Arabidopsis thaliana: one gene and its partners. The protein of the gene in region 1 interacts with the protein of each later gene in a biochemical or structural test. Each region holds a gene or a part of one and is shown in the gene's direction. Other genes may lie near its edges.

Region 1 (6,971 bases):
CTTACGCTTTGTATCGGTAAACATAATTGGATTTGCGAGAAAATATCAGCAATGTATAATTGTGTCACGCACAACCGGTATGTGGCAGCCTCAACATTTGAAAGGTACTTAATACTTATGAATATAAATGATAACGACGAATCTCTGCATAAATATTGTTTATGAAAGATTCTGACAGATCTATGGACGTTGTTTTTTTTTGCGTAATTTAAACTGGCCAAATAGTAGTAAAACTAGAATTTATTTTGGTCAAGCGGAATATAGTTTTGACAGATTCTAAGAGATGAGTGATTCAGGATTTTTATATTCAAATTACCAACGAAATAACTGATAATATTAGCAGATTATTTTAAGCTTAATCGATGGACTAACTGAAACATTTTTTTTGTCAAATTTTTGATGTTGTTAAGAGTAATTTTCGTTCATGAGGTTCCAATAACTCAGCTCAGCTCGCTTCACTTGAGTGTCAAATCCATGAAGAACATACTTCTAGCAAGACGTTTCCGCCTCGGCTGCACACGTCTACTATCCCAATGGTTCTCCCATGCTTAGCAAACTCAACTAGTTTCAGTTTCTATGTAATAGTTATCTACGGCTTTTTAATTTTTTTTACCATAAAAGCTCCTTGCCCCCAGCTTTGTAAATAACCTGTTTCCTTTTGGTAATATAATTCACATTTTATCCAAAAAAAAATCCATGAAGAACCAACCTTTCAATATATAAAAACAAGTTAATCCATGGAGACAGTCATTGATTAGTGAACATATTTCTAATAAAAGTTAATATGCATGGCTAAGAGAACAAAAACCATTTATCATGGTAGTTTATTTAATTAAAATTGCAAAATTATGAATCCAATATTTTGTTTATTATTGATTTTTTTTTATCAAAATTAGACTCGTCTCTAGTTTATGCGGAAAAATTGAAATATTTTTTTTTATCATTTACAACATTTATACACTATAGTAGTTAACAGTTATGAAACCGCAATGGAAAGATATAATATTTTACTAGTAACACTTTCTTTCTGATTTGTGAGTTAGCAAAAATATAAAAATGTGTCATTTGGTGTTTTTATAATGAAAATATAATAAAATAACAGATTAATTACAACCAATCTTGTCAAAAGGGAAGACAATAAATAAATACCAAAAAATGATGGAATCCACTCTTCTTCAAGCTACAATAGATATGAATGTTGGCACTGTTTCAAGGCACCCAAAAGTAAAAGTTAAAATTCAGCCAGAGAAAATGGTTAAAAGAAAAGTAAGCATACACATATTAGACTTAAACAAATAGAAAAAAGGGAAACAAATGTAACATAGAAGCATGCTAAAGTAAAAAGTGGGGGGGGGGGGATCAATAAACTGTCAAAGTAAAATTAAAGGCCATTACTTTCACATAAATGTTTAATTAATTTTTTTCAACCTTTTTGGAGATTGTAAAAAGTGCCGCGAAAATCTAAGAAATAAAAAAAATGGCAGTTGATAACGTTAGAAGAGGATTAATTTAAGCCTTTAAAGGGAAATAAATAAACTAAGCAAATTACTACTTTCCACAAAAACTAACAAGAGGACAAAAATAAAAAAGGCAAAGATAAATAAAAAAAACCTGAATTAAAAAAAAGATACCACAAACAAACACATATAGTAATAAAATTTTAATTTTGCATTATTAGAAGTACGCATGACTTCTCTCTGAAAAACAGATTGGTAATAAAAAAGAAAAAGAAAAACAATAAACGAAAACTGAGAGAGAGATTGAAAGAGAGATCGAGCGGAGGAAGATTCTTCCTCCAATTACCATCTCTCTATTTTTACGGGAAGATTCGTAAAATTAGTGCCATCAACCCAAAAAAAAAAACGAACCGGATCGATGAAACTTACAGTGCAAAAACACCATTTCCGAGAAGAAGAAGAAGACGAAGAACAAGACCTTCGTTGAGAAACTTTATTTGAAAAAAAAAAGAAACGATTTTTATTGGTTAAAGGGACAGACCTCCTTTTGGTGGATTGGCTCCGTGATCCAATCCTCGGAATTGTTTTTAAGGTGACGGAACAAATTTGTAAATCTTGTTTTTGGTATTGACCCAGATCTTTGGATAAATTTGAAATTTTTATTGGTTGTTTTTGATTTGAAGATGCAGCATAATCTCTTCACAACAATGCGAAGTTTGAAGCTTGCTGAAGGTTGTAAAGGTACACAAGTTTACGCTCTTAACCCATCAGCTCCTACTCCGCCTCCTCCTCCTGGTAATAGCAGCAGCGGTGGTGGTGGTGGTGGTGGTAGCGGCGGTGGCACCGGAGGTGTTGGGGATAAGCTTTTACAACATCTTTCAGATCATCTTCGTGTTAATTCTGTCCGATCTAAATCAAGCCGGACTTATCCTCCTCCTACTCAACCAAACGCTGTCGTTTCTCCCGAGTTTCTTCTCCCTTGTGGACTTCCTGTTACGGATCTGCTTGAACCTCAAATCGATCCTTGCTTGAAATTCGTTGATTTGGTTGAGAAGATGGCTCAAGTTTATCGTAGGATTGAGAATTGTTCTCAGTTTGAGAAATCTGGGGCTTATTTAGAGCAATGCGCTATCTTCCGGGGCATTTCTGATCCGAAACTGTTCCGGCGGAGTCTCCGGTCGTCTAGGCAACATGCGGTGGATGTTCACGCGAAAGTCGTGTTAGCCTCGTGGCTTAGGTTCGAGAGGAGGGAGGATGAGTTGATTGGAACGACTTCTATGGATTGTTGTGGCAGGAATTTGGAATGTCCAAAGGCTACTCTTGTTTCTGGTTATGATCCTGAATCTGTTTATGATCCATGTGTTTGCTCTGGAGCTTCTAGATCAGAGATGATGAATGAAGATGAATGTTCTACTTCTCAAGAAGTAGACTATGATATGTCATTTTGTATTGGTGATGAAGAGGTTCGTTGTGTGAGGTACAAAATCGCGTCTTTGTCCAGACCTTTCAAGGCGATGTTATACGGTGGGTTTAGAGAAATGAAACGAGCCACGATCAATTTTACGCAGAATGGAATCTCTGTTGAAGGGATGAGAGCTGCAGAGATTTTCAGCAGGACCAACAGGTTAGATAACTTCCCTCCTAATGTTGTCTTGGAGCTTCTTAAGCTTGCAAATCGGTTCTGCTGCGATGAATTGAAATCCGCTTGTGATTCGCATTTGGCACATCTTGTTAATTCTCTGGATGAGGCAATGTTGTTGATTGAGTACGGATTAGAAGAGGCTGCGTATCTTCTGGTGGCAGCTTGTCTTCAGGTTTTTCTCAGGGAATTGCCTAGCTCTATGCATAATCCGAATGTTATAAAGATTTTCTGCAGCGCCGAGGGACGGGAAAGACTGGCGTCTCTTGGCCATGCTTCTTTTACATTGTACTTCTTCTTGAGCCAGATTGCGATGGAAGATGATATGAAATCTAACACAACTGTGATGCTCTTAGAACGTCTGGTTGAATGTGCGGTGGATAGTTGGGAGAAACAGCTTGCGTATCACCAATTAGGAGTGGTGATGCTAGAGAGAAAAGAATATAAGGATGCTCAGAGATGGTTTAACGCAGCGGTTGAGGCTGGCCATCTTTACTCTCTCGTGGGTGTTGCCAGGACTAAGTTTAAGCGTGACCACAGGTACTCGGCTTATAAGATCATCAATTCCTTGATTTCGGATCACAAGGCTACTGGGTGGATGCACCAGGAAAGGTCCTTGTATTGCAGTGGTAAAGAAAAGCTGCTTGATTTGGATACAGCTACCGAGTTTGACCCTACTTTGACATTCCCCTACAAGTTCAGGGCAGTGGCTTTGGTGGAAGAAAACCAGTTTGGAGCTGCAATCGCAGAACTGAACAAGATTCTTGGATTCAAGGCCTCTCCTGACTGTCTAGAGATGAGGGCATGGATTTCTATAGGTATGGAGGATTACGAGGGTGCTTTGAAAGATATTCGGGCGCTTTTGACATTGGAGCCAAATTTTATGATGTTTAACTGGAAAATCCATGGTGATCATATGGTGGAGTTGCTCCGTCCGCTAGCCCAGCAGTGGAGCCAGGCTGATTGCTGGATGCAGCTGTATGATCGTTGGTCTTCTGTGGATGATATTGGATCTCTAGCAGTTGTTCATCATATGCTTGCAAATGATCCAGGGAAGAGTCTTTTACGGTTCAGACAGTCTCTTCTTCTCCTACGGTATAATCTAAACCTCTCTTTCCGCTTCTCAATGAATTTTTTTTCTTGTGGTGCATGTTGTTTTAGACTGTAAGTGATTTTAACAAGTGCTGGTTGTATACTGACAGGCTCAATTGTCAAAAGGCAGCAATGCGTAGTCTAAGGCTGGCTCGAAACCATTCAAAGTCGGAGCATGAGAGACTTGTGTATGAAGGATGGATACTGTATGATACAGGCCACCGCGAGGAAGCCCTTGCCAAAGCGGAGGAATCCATTTCCATCCAAAGGTCGTTTGAAGCGTTTTTCCTCAAAGCTTACGCCCTTGCAGACTCTACGCTTGACCCGGACTCCTCTAATTATGTGATTCAGCTCCTTCAAGAAGCGCTTAAGTGCCCCTCAGATGGTCTCCGTAAGGGACAAGTAAGTAAAGAGTTCAACAGTTTTCATTTATGTAATTCAATTTCTCAATAAGTCAATTCCTTTTCTAGAGGGTTTGTTGGATCATCCTTCAGACTGCCATAGTATCAGAATCCCAATGTAAAACTTTTTGTTCTTGGTGCCTGGAATAACTTGTTGATAGTGGAATGTGGTCGCATCTCAGGAGCCAACTCTCTTAAAAACCGTTTAGTATATTTGGTCAAAAGGTTATCCTACTAAATCATATGACATTCAATATCATGAACTCCCGTTTGGTGTATTTGCTTGCAGGCATTGAACAACCTGGGGAGCGTATACGTGGATTGTGAAAAGCTGGATCTTGCAGCTGATTGCTACACAAACGCGCTCACCATCAAGCATACACGAGCTCACCAAGGTCTTGCACGTGTTTATCACCTGAAAAACCAACGGAAAGCTGCTTATGATGAAATGACAAAGCTAATAGAGAAGGCTCAGAACAATGCGTCGGCATATGAGAAGCGCTCTGAATATTGTGACCGCGAGATGGCTCAGAGCGACCTTTGCCTGGCAACACAACTTGACCCTCTCCGAACCTATCCTTACAGATACAGAGCCGCAGGTATGTTAATGACACAACCAAGTTCTTGTTTATCCTCCTTTTGTCTGTTGTTTATAATTGGATGCCAGAAACAAGACAACAATGGCTGATCCTTTCTGAGGGATTCTCCCACGTATAAAAGTGTTAGAAAAACGTAGAACCCAGCTTATGTGGTGATGAAAACGGAAATGATAATTTGTGACCCCAACACATGAAAGAAATGAGATTTCGATCATCTTTCTGGAGATAGAAACAGAACTGCGAGTGTTATATACTTCTGTACTTATACCGAATTGATATGCAGTTTCTCTGGTTTGGTTTTGGTGAATTTGAATATGAAAAATAGTTTTGCTAAGACCAGAGTATCAAGTTTTCTTTTTAAGTTTCGCTTTGTTTAACATGAACTCTTGGTTGCAGTTCTTATGGACGACCACAAAGAAAGTGAAGCCATAGACGAGCTTTCGAGGGCGATATCATTTAAACCAGATCTTCAGCTATTACATCTACGAGCAGCATTCTATGATTCAATGGGAGAAGGAGCGTCTGCTATAAAAGATTGTGAAGCAGCATTATGTATTGATCCAGGTCATGCAGATACACTCGAGCTCTACCACAAAGCTCGTGAACCAAACGACCAAAAGTAGAACAAAACTATCAATTTGGTTTGATGGGCAAAAATATTTCTCTTCTTCCCTCCTGGTATGGCTTCTACACTGTTTCATTTTCCTTGTGCAAAACAGAACTTGGAGCAAATCAAAGAAAGCTTGGTTTGAGTGAACCAGGGAAAAAGCAAGCATAGCCATGTAAATAGAAACTTTTTTATATATTATTTTTTTTTCTCTATAATTTTGGTTATTGGGGGGTGAGAGGATACTTTATAAGTAGTGCAGAGAGTGTTTCTTGCTGCTAAAGATAATACGTTTTCTGGCCAACAAAAAAAAGGGAAAACCACGAAGAAGAACTTACCTCTGGTGAAATTGGACTTCTTCTTCTGTCCTATTTCTAGATGTATTATTGCTTCTTTCTTTTTATTTATTTTTTTCATCACTGGAATTATGTAAAATTGTATCTGTAACTTCTTCACCTTTTTTTTTTTTACATGTTTCTTGTATTGATTCTCCAAAAGCATCCGGGGATTTGTTTTTTATCCTCCTGAAACAAGAAAACAAAGAAACTATTCATTCTTCTTACATTTCAACATGTTTCACCAAGAGTATCCTCAATATTTCAACATTCTTTTTTATCACTTGATGAGGAAATCATCTCCTTACTTCTAGATTTGGGTTTGAGTTCTTGTTTGGTTTCATGATCGATTTTATCACCACATGGTTGGATTGGAAACTCAACTTTTTCCAAAGCTCTCCTGACCTGTGAACACAATAAAGAGGCCACAAATATCGGTTTTGCATACACGAGAAAGTTTCAAACTTTCAACAACTTCTCATTAAATTTCAACTTTCAGCTAACAAACTAGAAAAGAAGAGTGTCAACACAACAAAGATCTCTCCCAAACTCACAATTTTGCCTTCTTTGGGTCGCAAACAAGAACATACCCTTCCCACTCAGATGATTTTGTATCTTACGGTTGAAGAAATGATGGATATTAACCGATCCCGAAGATTGAACTTCAATGCTCCATTCTTGTCGACGAAGCGCCATGTCACCCAAGAGAAGCTTCCGGGCCAGTTTCCGGAAGCTTCTGTTCCATTTTGCTGGGAAACCGCTCCCGGGATGCCCAAGAACTCGTCTCATTTGAAAAATGACGCTGAATCTGAAACGCCCCGGCTCAAACTACCTCCTGGAA
Region 2 (4,594 bases), on another chromosome or scaffold:
GTATAAGTTATAACCAACGGCCACCAACATGGGTTTTGATATCGTCCACCTGATTTTTATGTTAATATAACTCAATTTGATTGATTAAATATTATGCTCTTATACTAATCATTCTAGGTCCAAAACTGAATCACTCATTGCACATCATTTTTATGATTTTTATTTTGAAAATCTCATGTTTCAAGAAATATTTGTGCATTCTACTAGTAGCTTATTTTAAATAAAGTTTCGAGTTTATATAATAAACAATATGTTTATTTCTTTGATTTGTATACATTTTAAAAAAAAAAACAGGATGAAGATATATACAACTAAAGCTCAATTCAACTAGTAGGAAAATTGTATTCTACAAAAAATTTGTGTTTATGTTTTTATTATGATAACCATCCAAACTCATTATTTCACCCATGATCAAAGTAACTATATCAATATATCTGCAACAATATCTGACTCAACATTTATTTTTACATAAACTGCGGACCAACACAATTATGCTAAACTATCATCATTTATTCTATTGGTATTGGAGATCAGTCTACGTCAGTGAATACCGCATAATTCACATGAAACTAACTCCAAAACCCTTTAACCAAAAAAAAAAAAAAACTAATTACAACTCCGGTTAACCTGTCGATAATTACAAGACTGAAAACATCCTAGTCAGTAAAAAACATATTTGTATGTATCCGATCCCACCAAATAAATAAGTTGTTGTCAATGATAGAGGAAGAGAAAACGAAAAAAAATTGCGGACCAAGACATTTGGGACTACTAGAGTTTAGGGAGCATAAATGGTCCTATTTGACTTACCCTCTACCGTATAAATAAATGTATTTTAGCCGTATAAATGTATACATACGTAGATGCATAGGTATACAGGATTACTTTAGACGATTTGATGTCGGTATGACATTACATTTGACTCCCCTAGCTCCACTTGTCTCTGTTCATTTTTCTTGTATGTCATTTCCTTGTTTTCCAATTTTACGTTTACCACCCTATTTTATTTTGTTAATATTTTCTAAGTCAACGTGTTGACACTTAATTACAGAATCTGATAACTAAAGTTACATAAAATGCTCACAGTTTTTTTCAGCAAAATACTCACATTATACGACATATAAAATTTTAGCAGTCTATAAATAGTAATTATTTGGCATTAGTATTGGACAAGAAGTAGAATATAAATTAATGTTGGTTCTTTTTTCTATCCAACTTCACACAGCCAATTTTGTAGCTGACATCGTGAATGGACGACTAAACTAATCATAAGCATAGTGATTCAGTTTATACAACAACAACAAAAAGTTAATTACATTTGAGGTTTCTTTTTAAATTGCTATGTTTGGTCCCTAAATGATGGTCATAATAAGGACGGTCCGGCGGTGACGGAAACGCGTAAAGACTAATCATTTTAGTACTATTAATTTGTAGAATTATTATTAAATATGCTTGAATCCTAGAAAACGATCAAATAAATTTTGGAAAGAAGCTCAAAATGTGTTATTTAATTTTGTCCCTATGTAGAGCTGGTTTTTTTATTTTTATTTAAACATAATCCTAAGATTTATTGCTGTATGTGTGAATGCAATAATAAATAGAAACTCAATAATAGATCATTCTTATTTTCAAAAAGAAACAAGAACTACTGCAATGTTTTAATTGTTTATTTTGTATTAAATAATATAGCTTGTTAATTATTGGAGATCGCATTAAATAATAAAAGAAGTTGTCTCACATGTCTTGGAGAATATTTACTAAAAACTATGGTAATGTCTGGACGGTCAAAAAAGTCTCTCTAGTTTCTGATTCTGTTGTCACATTTTATTTTTGAAATTAAATGTCGTTAGATTATTATTATCTATATATATATATATCCCAACAGACCCATTGCTTCTCCAACCACATCTCACTCTTCACCAACTTAAACCCTAATTCAAGATCTCTTCTTTTCGTTCTCTCCTTCACCCACATTAGTCTTCTCTACGACCAAAATCTCTTGACTTTAAAAACAGAGAATGAAACAGCTTTCGACAAAAGTGACAAGCAATGGTCATGGACAAGACTCATCCTACTTCTTGGGATGGGAAGAGTACGAGAAGAATCCTTATGATGAGATCAAGAACCCTAATGGGATGATCCAGATGGGTCTAGCCGAAAACCAGCTATGTTTCGATCTAATCGAGTCATGGTTAACTAAGAACCCAGACGCGGCAAGTCTCAAGAGGAACGGTCAATCCATTTTCAGAGAGCTTGCTCTATTTCAAGACTATCATGGCATGCCTGAATTCAAAAAAGTAAGCTTCTTTCATTTTTCTCAAATTCAATAAAGAGAGTAACCTGACGTGTATCACAAGTAATGAATCCATTTCTCATGAACATTTTCTGTCATTTTTTACAGGCTATGGCTGAGTTTATGGAAGAGATAAGAGGAAACCGTGTCACGTTCGATCCAAAAAAGATTGTTTTAGCGGCTGGTTCGACATCTGCGAATGAGACTCTCATGTTTTGCCTTGCAGAGCCTGGCGATGCTTTCCTTTTGCCTACTCCTTACTATCCTGGGTAAATTACACTTCTCCTCTTTACTTGGATTCCAAGTAAACCCAATAGAAATATATGCTTACGTCTAGGCTTTTTTATGATTACAGATTTGATAGAGATCTTAAATGGAGAACCGGAGCAGAGATAGTACCCATTCACTGCTCAAGCTCTAATGGCTTCCAAATCACGGAATCAGCTCTGCAACAAGCTTACCAACAAGCCCAGAAACTTGATCTCAAAGTCAAAGGAGTTCTTGTCACGAATCCATCTAACCCACTTGGCACTGCGTTGACCAGACGTGAACTTAACCTTCTCGTTGACTTCATCACTTCCAAGAACATTCATCTCATTAGCGACGAGATCTATTCAGGCACTATGTTCGGGTTTGAACAGTTCATAAGCGTAATGGATGTCTTGAAAGACAAGAAACTCGAAGACACGGAGGTTTCAAAACGAGTCCACGTCGTTTATAGCCTTTCTAAAGATCTGGGACTTCCTGGTTTCCGTGTGGGAGCGATCTACTCCAACGACGAAATGATCGTTTCAGCAGCTACAAAAATGTCAAGTTTTGGTCTTGTTTCTTCTCAGACACAATACCTTCTCTCTGCATTGCTCTCCGACAAGAAGTTCACTAGCCAATACCTCGAAGAGAACCAGAAACGACTCAAGTCCAGACAGAGACGCCTCGTGTCTGGTCTTGAGTCTGCAGGGATTACTTGCCTGAGAAGCAACGCGGGTTTGTTCTGTTGGGTCGACATGAGACACCTTTTGGACACAAACACATTTGAAGCAGAGCTTGACCTCTGGAAAAAGATTGTTTACAACGTGAAACTAAACATATCACCCGGTTCTTCATGTCACTGCACCGAACCGGGTTGGTTTAGGGTTTGTTTCGCTAATATGAGCGAGGACACACTCGATTTGGCCTTGAAGAGGCTCAAAACTTTCGTAGAATCCACAGACTGTGGACGAATGATATCAAGAAGCAGCCATGAAAGGCTCAAGAGTTTGAGGAAGAAGACAGTCTCTAACTGGGTTTTCCGGGTTTCATGGACCGATCGTGTACCTGATGAACGATGAAATTATTCATCTCCCTAAGTTTGAGACGACGAACAAAAGAAAACTTCACGGTTTTTTCTTCTTCTTTATTTCCTTCATTTTTTATATTTTGGGAAAGTATTTTTAATTTTCCAAGATATCTATAATCATATCATTATATATGTAATATTTTTTTTAATGTTTGGGTGAGTCTTTAATTTATGCAATTTTTCGGGTGTAAAATTGTTACTATGTGTTATTATATGTTTTTAATGCACTCAATCCGAATGTGGATTTGCAGTGGCTATATATATAAATAAATATATATCCCGTTGTAATTTTAGTGAAACGTTTGTGTGTATTGTACCCATATATAAAAATGTAATTCACTCTTTTTAGTTTATATATATTTTGTTTTATAAATATGGGTTTCTTTAATTTTATGCTCTATCATTTGGTATAGTTTTTGAGTTTGTTGTGAGAATTCTCCTCTGACTATAAGGCTATAAAGATCGTGTTAACGTTGTTGGTTAAGGACGTTAGTTGAGGCATATCAAAAGGAGGCTTAATTTAATGTCAATTAACTAATTAATTAATCATTATATGGTAATATGGCGGGAATTGTCGAATTGGTCAACTGAGAAAGCAAAAGGGGAAAGTCAAAGGTTTTCCACTTAGGTGAATCAAGAGAGAAGGTATGATCTACTTGTCGAAAATATTCGATGAAGCCTAAATAATTTAGTTAAAAATCGACTAAAACCCATTAACAATTTCGGGGTAAAGGTAGCTTCTAGCGTTCTACGGCAGTAAAGTTTTGAGCTTTGAATAGGTACGTTGCATTGCGTAAGAATGTTCACGTCACATATTTGAACTAAAATTACAAGTTTACAACGAAATCCACATTTTTTTTTTGTATAATCAAAACTTACTCTATCAGGATTAACGTAATTATAAGAAAAAAATGAGCAACTTATGAGAAACCGAAATCTGTATATCGAGAGCCATGGTTGATTGA
Region 3 (5,498 bases), on another chromosome or scaffold:
CCTGTAAAACGAAGTAGAAGAAATCGAAATCTTGGGCGAAACTTTGTACGTAGAGTTGTTGTAACGCTAGAATAAAAATGAAGAATTTCATTTCCTCAAGATATCAAATAATTTGTGGGAATCAAATTTGTCGAAAACCAATGAAGGATGGATGATAGATAAATAGTTTAGAATATGTTTATATAAGTCATATAACGTGAAGTGTGATATTTTGTTTTGGGTAGAGAGACGTGACGTGTGATTGGTATATGTTTGCTTAATTGTGTTAGGTTAGTATTTCGTGCAAGCATTTTATTTTCAGCTCCAATGCTTTAAAAAGTAATAACGTAAGGCAAACTTTTCATCATGCTTCAACTACAAAATTATGAGTATTTTGTAGCTCCAATTAACGTAACGTAAGGCAAACTTTCCAGCTCCAATGTTTTAGAGCTAGCCGAATATTATGTGTCTCAGTATTTATAAAATTATGAGTATTCGATTGGAAAAATAAATAAAGAAACTCTTATAGTATTCACTTAAAGACCTTTGTTTCTTAAATTTTAAATATTTAAATCCACTTAAAGATCCTTGTTTCTCATAAAGTGTTAAAGACCCATAAAGGCATAAATCAAACCATTGTCCCGTCTCGGAAACGTACGTCAAGTTTCTTGATGAGGCGCATGTTGGCTACTTGGTTCTACTTCTACAGTTACAGACTCCAGTGTGTACCGTATTCTATCAAGTTCTGCATTTATGCAAGAACCTTAGGTATCACAAATATTTGGGGGCAATAAAATTATAAAAATTCCTTACAGTGCAGCGATTTATGTCACATTTTCAGCCAAGAGGTTGTGTGTTCGAGTTCCCTCAACTACTTCTGCTAATTTTTTTATTAAAAAAAAAAAACTTTAGACCGCCCATAACTTTGAGCCGGCAATGATCCTACCTCACAATCATACTAAAATCTACCAATGATCCTTACCATGTTTTGGCGCTTGAGGTGGATACGAATAATCCACTAGTTGGGTTAACCTTATAGGGAAGGTGAAGATTGTTATAAAGTTTGTAGATTATACAATGAAAAGTAAGAAGATAGGTCCAAGTCAAAGTTTGTATGATTAAAACAAGAAAGATGGTATATACCATGCGTTGCTTTCCAGAAAATGGCTTCAAGAAAGCAAAGACAAAGAATATCATCATGAGCTTGACCAGGGATAAGGAAGAAGATCCATTGACGTGTTTACAACGACAAAAACTAGTTAGAAGTTAGAACATAGTGTCGCTGAAGTTGTGGAGGAAATGCATTTTTTAAACAGATGCATAGAGACGATTGAATATGGCATCGAAACAGTGAATGCAAGCAACAAAGGTTGGTAAACTGGTGAAGAGAAAGGTAACAGACGATATAACTTTTTTTGTGAATGAATTAAAAGGGATTTTTTTTTTTCGTCAAGAAGCTGAAATTTCATTAAACCGAAACTTAAACCGATACATAAGTTGGTACAATAAGTGCATAATTTAATGCAGATTTTGCATATGCATATGCACAACCGTTTTTTTCTCTAAAAATGAAGTGAAAAGAAATTTGATCGAAATTAAACGAAAGAGCAAGAACATCTTGGAAAATCACGTAGAGATTCTTTGGGAAGGATTCTGAGTTGATAGCTTTGATCAGCGTTTGCAAATCTGAAGCGAAGGTGACTTCCTAAAACCGAGTTCTAAGGCATTTTGTTGGGCTAGATGAAGCGCCATGGCTTCTGCCAAAAGAGGAGAAGCAACATTCGCCACTCTAAGGGATTCAAAGCCTCTTTATGAAATAGAAGTTGACATATTTTTAGTTCAATTAAATGAAATGACCGACGTGCCAATTTGTCATATCCACATAAGTATAAAAGCTAACTAAACCTCCAATGTCAAAAAAAAAAAAATAACTGGCTTCGACTAGGGATCGATCCTTGGACTTCGATATTTCACAATTCTTTGTAACCAATATACCAAAGGACGAGAATGTGACAACCGCGACTTTAATTTAATAAATACGTTATAGTTTGGAAACCACCAGCAGAGACGGAGAGTCCACTTTTATTTCTTCCGCTCCGTTTGGTCTGTCCTCTTCTTCTTCTCCACCTTCGAAATCTATCTTCTCCGATACCTCTCTATCTATATCTCTTCGACGCTGCAAATTAGCCTTAAGCTTCTTTCTCCTTTAAACTTTTCGATTATTATTCCATTTCCTATCTTTTTGTTTCCCCCAAATCTTTTCACGGAAGCAAAGAATACAATTCCAAACCCTAATCCCGATCATCCGTCTTTCCTCTCCGGTCAGTCTTCCGATTTCCTCGATCCACCTGATTTTCATTATGATTATACATATATACTTTCTTCTCGCTCGTCAATTTTTTCGTTGCTGTGTGAATTTAGATTGATTTGTTTTGGATTCAGGTTTCAAAATATGAGTAATCAGAAGAAGAGGAATTTTCAGATAGAGGCGTTTAAGCATCGAGTCGTTGTGGATCCCAAATACGCTGATAAAACTTGGCAGATTCTTGAGCGTGCGATCCATCAGATTTACAATCAAGATGCTAGCGGTCTCAGTTTCGAAGAACTTTACAGGTCAATTTCTTTCATTCTCTTGCCTTTCTTTGAATCCTGTAGAAACTGGTAATGTTTCTGGAACTTAGCTAGGTTTCGTGTTAATGGAATTATTTGTGTATATTGTGGCTCAGAAATGCGTACAACATGGTCCTGCACAAGTTTGGTGAGAAGCTATATACTGGGTTTATTGCTACTATGACTTCTCATCTCAAAGAAAAATCCAAGCTTATCGAGGCAGCTCAGGGAGGGTCGTTTCTAGAAGAGCTTAATAAGAAATGGAATGAGCACAACAAAGCGTTAGAGATGATTCGAGACATTCTCATGTATATGGATAGGACTTATATTGAGAGCACCAAAAAGACTCATGTTCATCCGATGGGGCTTAACTTGTGGAGGGATAATGTTGTGCATTTCACTAAGATACATACAAGGCTTCTAAACACTCTTCTTGATCTAGTGCAGAAGGAACGGATAGGTGAAGTTATTGATAGGGGGTTGATGAGGAATGTCATTAAGATGTTTATGGATTTGGGTGAATCTGTGTATCAGGAGGATTTTGAGAAGCCGTTTTTGGATGCGTCTTCTGAGTTTTATAAGGTTGAGTCTCAGGAGTTTATTGAATCTTGTGATTGTGGGGACTATCTGAAGAAATCAGAGAAACGCCTTACTGAAGAGATAGAGAGGGTAGCGCACTACTTAGATGCCAAGAGCGAAGAGAAGATTACTAGTGTGGTTGAGAAAGAGATGATTGCCAACCACATGCAGAGACTGGTTCACATGGAGAACTCAGGTCTGGTTAATATGCTTCTGAATGACAAGTATGAGGATTTGGGTAGAATGTACAACTTGTTTCGCAGGGTTACTAATGGTCTTGTTACTGTCAGAGACGTTATGACTTCGCATCTTAGGGAGATGGGAAAACAACTGGTTACTGATCCGGAAAAGTCAAAGGATCCGGTGGAATTTGTACAACGTCTATTGGATGAGCGGGATAAATATGACAAAATCATCAACACCGCATTTGGCAATGATAAAACCTTTCAGAATGCCCTGAATTCTTCATTCGAGTATTTCATCAACTTGAATGCTCGTTCTCCTGAGTTTATCTCCCTGTTTGTTGATGACAAGCTACGGAAAGGACTTAAGGGTATCACCGATGTGGATGTTGAGGTTATCCTTGATAAAGTGATGATGCTGTTCCGTTATTTACAAGAGAAAGATGTCTTTGAGAAGTACTACAAGCAGCATTTGGCTAAAAGGCTTCTCTCAGGCAAAACTGTGTCAGATGACGCAGAAAGGAGTTTAATAGTGAAACTAAAGACAGAATGTGGCTATCAGTTCACTTCAAAATTGGAAGGCATGTTCACTGACATGAAGACTTCAGAGGACACAATGCGTGGGTTTTATGGCAGTCACCCCGAGCTTTCAGAAGGACCTACACTTATTGTTCAGGTACTTACAACTGGTTCTTGGCCAACACAGCCTGCAGTACCTTGTAATCTCCCAGCTGAAGTTTCAGTTCTCTGTGAGAAGTTCCGTTCTTACTACCTTGGGACACATACCGGTAGAAGATTGTCCTGGCAAACAAACATGGGCACAGCAGATATCAAAGCCATCTTTGGAAAGGGTCAGAAACATGAACTGAACGTGTCGACTTTCCAGATGTGTGTTCTCATGTTGTTCAACAATTCTGATCGACTCAGCTACAAAGAGATCGAACAGGCTACAGAAATCCCGGCAGCAGATCTTAAACGCTGTTTGCAGTCGCTAGCTTGTGTAAAGGGCAAAAACGTGATAAAGAAAGAACCCATGAGCAAAGACATAGGAGAGGAGGATTTGTTCGTTGTGAACGACAAGTTCACTAGCAAGTTTTACAAAGTGAAGATCGGAACTGTGGTTGCCCAAAAGGAAACAGAACCGGAGAAGCAAGAGACGAGACAGAGAGTGGAGGAAGACAGAAAACCTCAGATTGAAGCAGCCATCGTAAGGATCATGAAGTCCAGGAAAATACTAGACCACAACAACATAATCGCCGAGGTGACGAAACAGTTGCAGCCACGGTTCCTAGCTAATCCCACGGAGATAAAGAAGAGAATCGAGTCGCTCATTGAACGAGATTTCTTGGAAAGGGATAGTACAGACCGGAAACTTTACCGCTATCTAGCCTAAATAAGTTGAATACCACAACCCAAAAAAAAAAGGCTTTACTCTGTTTCTTTCTTTGCTTTATTTCCTTATGTTTGATGTAAAATCTTTTGAACTGTACGGTAGTCGGTAAGAACGAACCAACACAGCGTCACTACCGGTTTAATCGAATATACATTTGTTTCCTTTTCTTTTGTCTTTCATCAGATACCGTATGTGATTTCAGCTTCTGGACACGTTGGGCCGGCTCGAGGCCTTTTAAGGCCCATTTTAAACGGTTAAGAGCCAAAAAAAACATTCGCGGCTAAAATTTCAACCAGGCGTAAAAAAATCCCGCCAAACGTTGGCAACGCTTTGTTTATAGCGTTTTCATAGCCTAATCGGTTCCATTGACATTTCTAGGGGAAAAAATCTCTCACAGTGTCTGACTTTGGTTCTTTGTCTTGTAACAATCGCCGGAAAATTAAGGATATGGATATCTCCGACATAGGTAGGAAACTTAGTCTCGATAACAACAAGCTTTTAATCAGAAAAGCTGCAGAGATCCGCCGTCTTTGCGATGCTCAGTTCGATTCATCCATCATCGGCGTTGTAAGATAAATCCGATTCTGAATCCCAAAGTTTCACATCGAGTACTTTGATTATAATTTTTCCTTATGTGTTGAGAATTTGATTTTTCTATCAGGGTGAGATCTGTAAAGCTGTGATTTGTCTAGAAATCGCCGCCACTAGGTAAATAATTATCGTAATTGATTTATAACGATTTCAATATCCATAGT

Evidence for each region.
Region 2: the proteins of ETO1 (region 1) and ACS5 form a complex in vitro, tested with the Arabidopsis thaliana proteins (one study listed by BioGRID).
Region 3: the proteins of ETO1 (region 1) and CUL3 form a complex in vitro, tested with the Arabidopsis thaliana proteins (one study listed by BioGRID).

Annotation. Positions count from the first base shown.
Region 1 is NC_003074.8:19,199,168-19,206,138, reverse strand, and holds ETO1 (tetratricopeptide repeat (TPR)-containing protein), read left to right. Parts: upstream 1-1,674; 5' UTR 1,675-2,049; intron 2,050-2,140; coding exon 2,141-4,191; intron 4,192-4,298; coding exon 4,299-4,590; intron 4,591-4,878; coding exon 4,879-5,188; intron 5,189-5,584; coding exon 5,585-5,811; 3' UTR 5,812-6,389; downstream 6,390-6,971. Other genes in the region: AT3G51760 (hypothetical protein (DUF688)), read left to right, coding at 6,734-6,971. UniProt on the Arabidopsis thaliana protein: Essential regulator of the ethylene pathway, which acts by regulating the stability of 1-aminocyclopropane-1-carboxylate synthase (ACS) enzymes.
Region 2 is NC_003076.8:26,330,123-26,334,716, reverse strand, and holds ACS5 (ACC synthase 5), read left to right. Parts: upstream 1-1,904; 5' UTR 1,905-2,018; coding exon 2,019-2,297; intron 2,298-2,401; coding exon 2,402-2,562; intron 2,563-2,648; coding exon 2,649-3,621; 3' UTR 3,622-3,971; downstream 3,972-4,594. UniProt on the Arabidopsis thaliana protein: 1-aminocyclopropane-1-carboxylate synthase (ACS) enzymes catalyze the conversion of S-adenosyl-L-methionine (SAM) into 1-aminocyclopropane-1-carboxylate (ACC), a direct precursor of ethylene.
Region 3 is NC_003070.9:9,293,632-9,299,129, forward strand, and holds CUL3 (cullin 3), read left to right. Parts: upstream 1-1,933; 5' UTR 1,934-2,300; intron 2,301-2,421; 5' UTR 2,422-2,431; coding exon 2,432-2,592; intron 2,593-2,705; coding exon 2,706-4,743; 3' UTR 4,744-4,998; downstream 4,999-5,498. Other genes in the region: RNS3 (ribonuclease 3), read right to left, coding at 2-91; ORC6 (origin recognition complex protein 6), read left to right, coding at 5,191-5,310, 5,405-5,451. UniProt on the Arabidopsis thaliana protein: Component of the cullin-RING ubiquitin ligases (CRL), or CUL3-RBX1-BTB protein E3 ligase complexes which mediate the ubiquitination and subsequent proteasomal degradation of target proteins.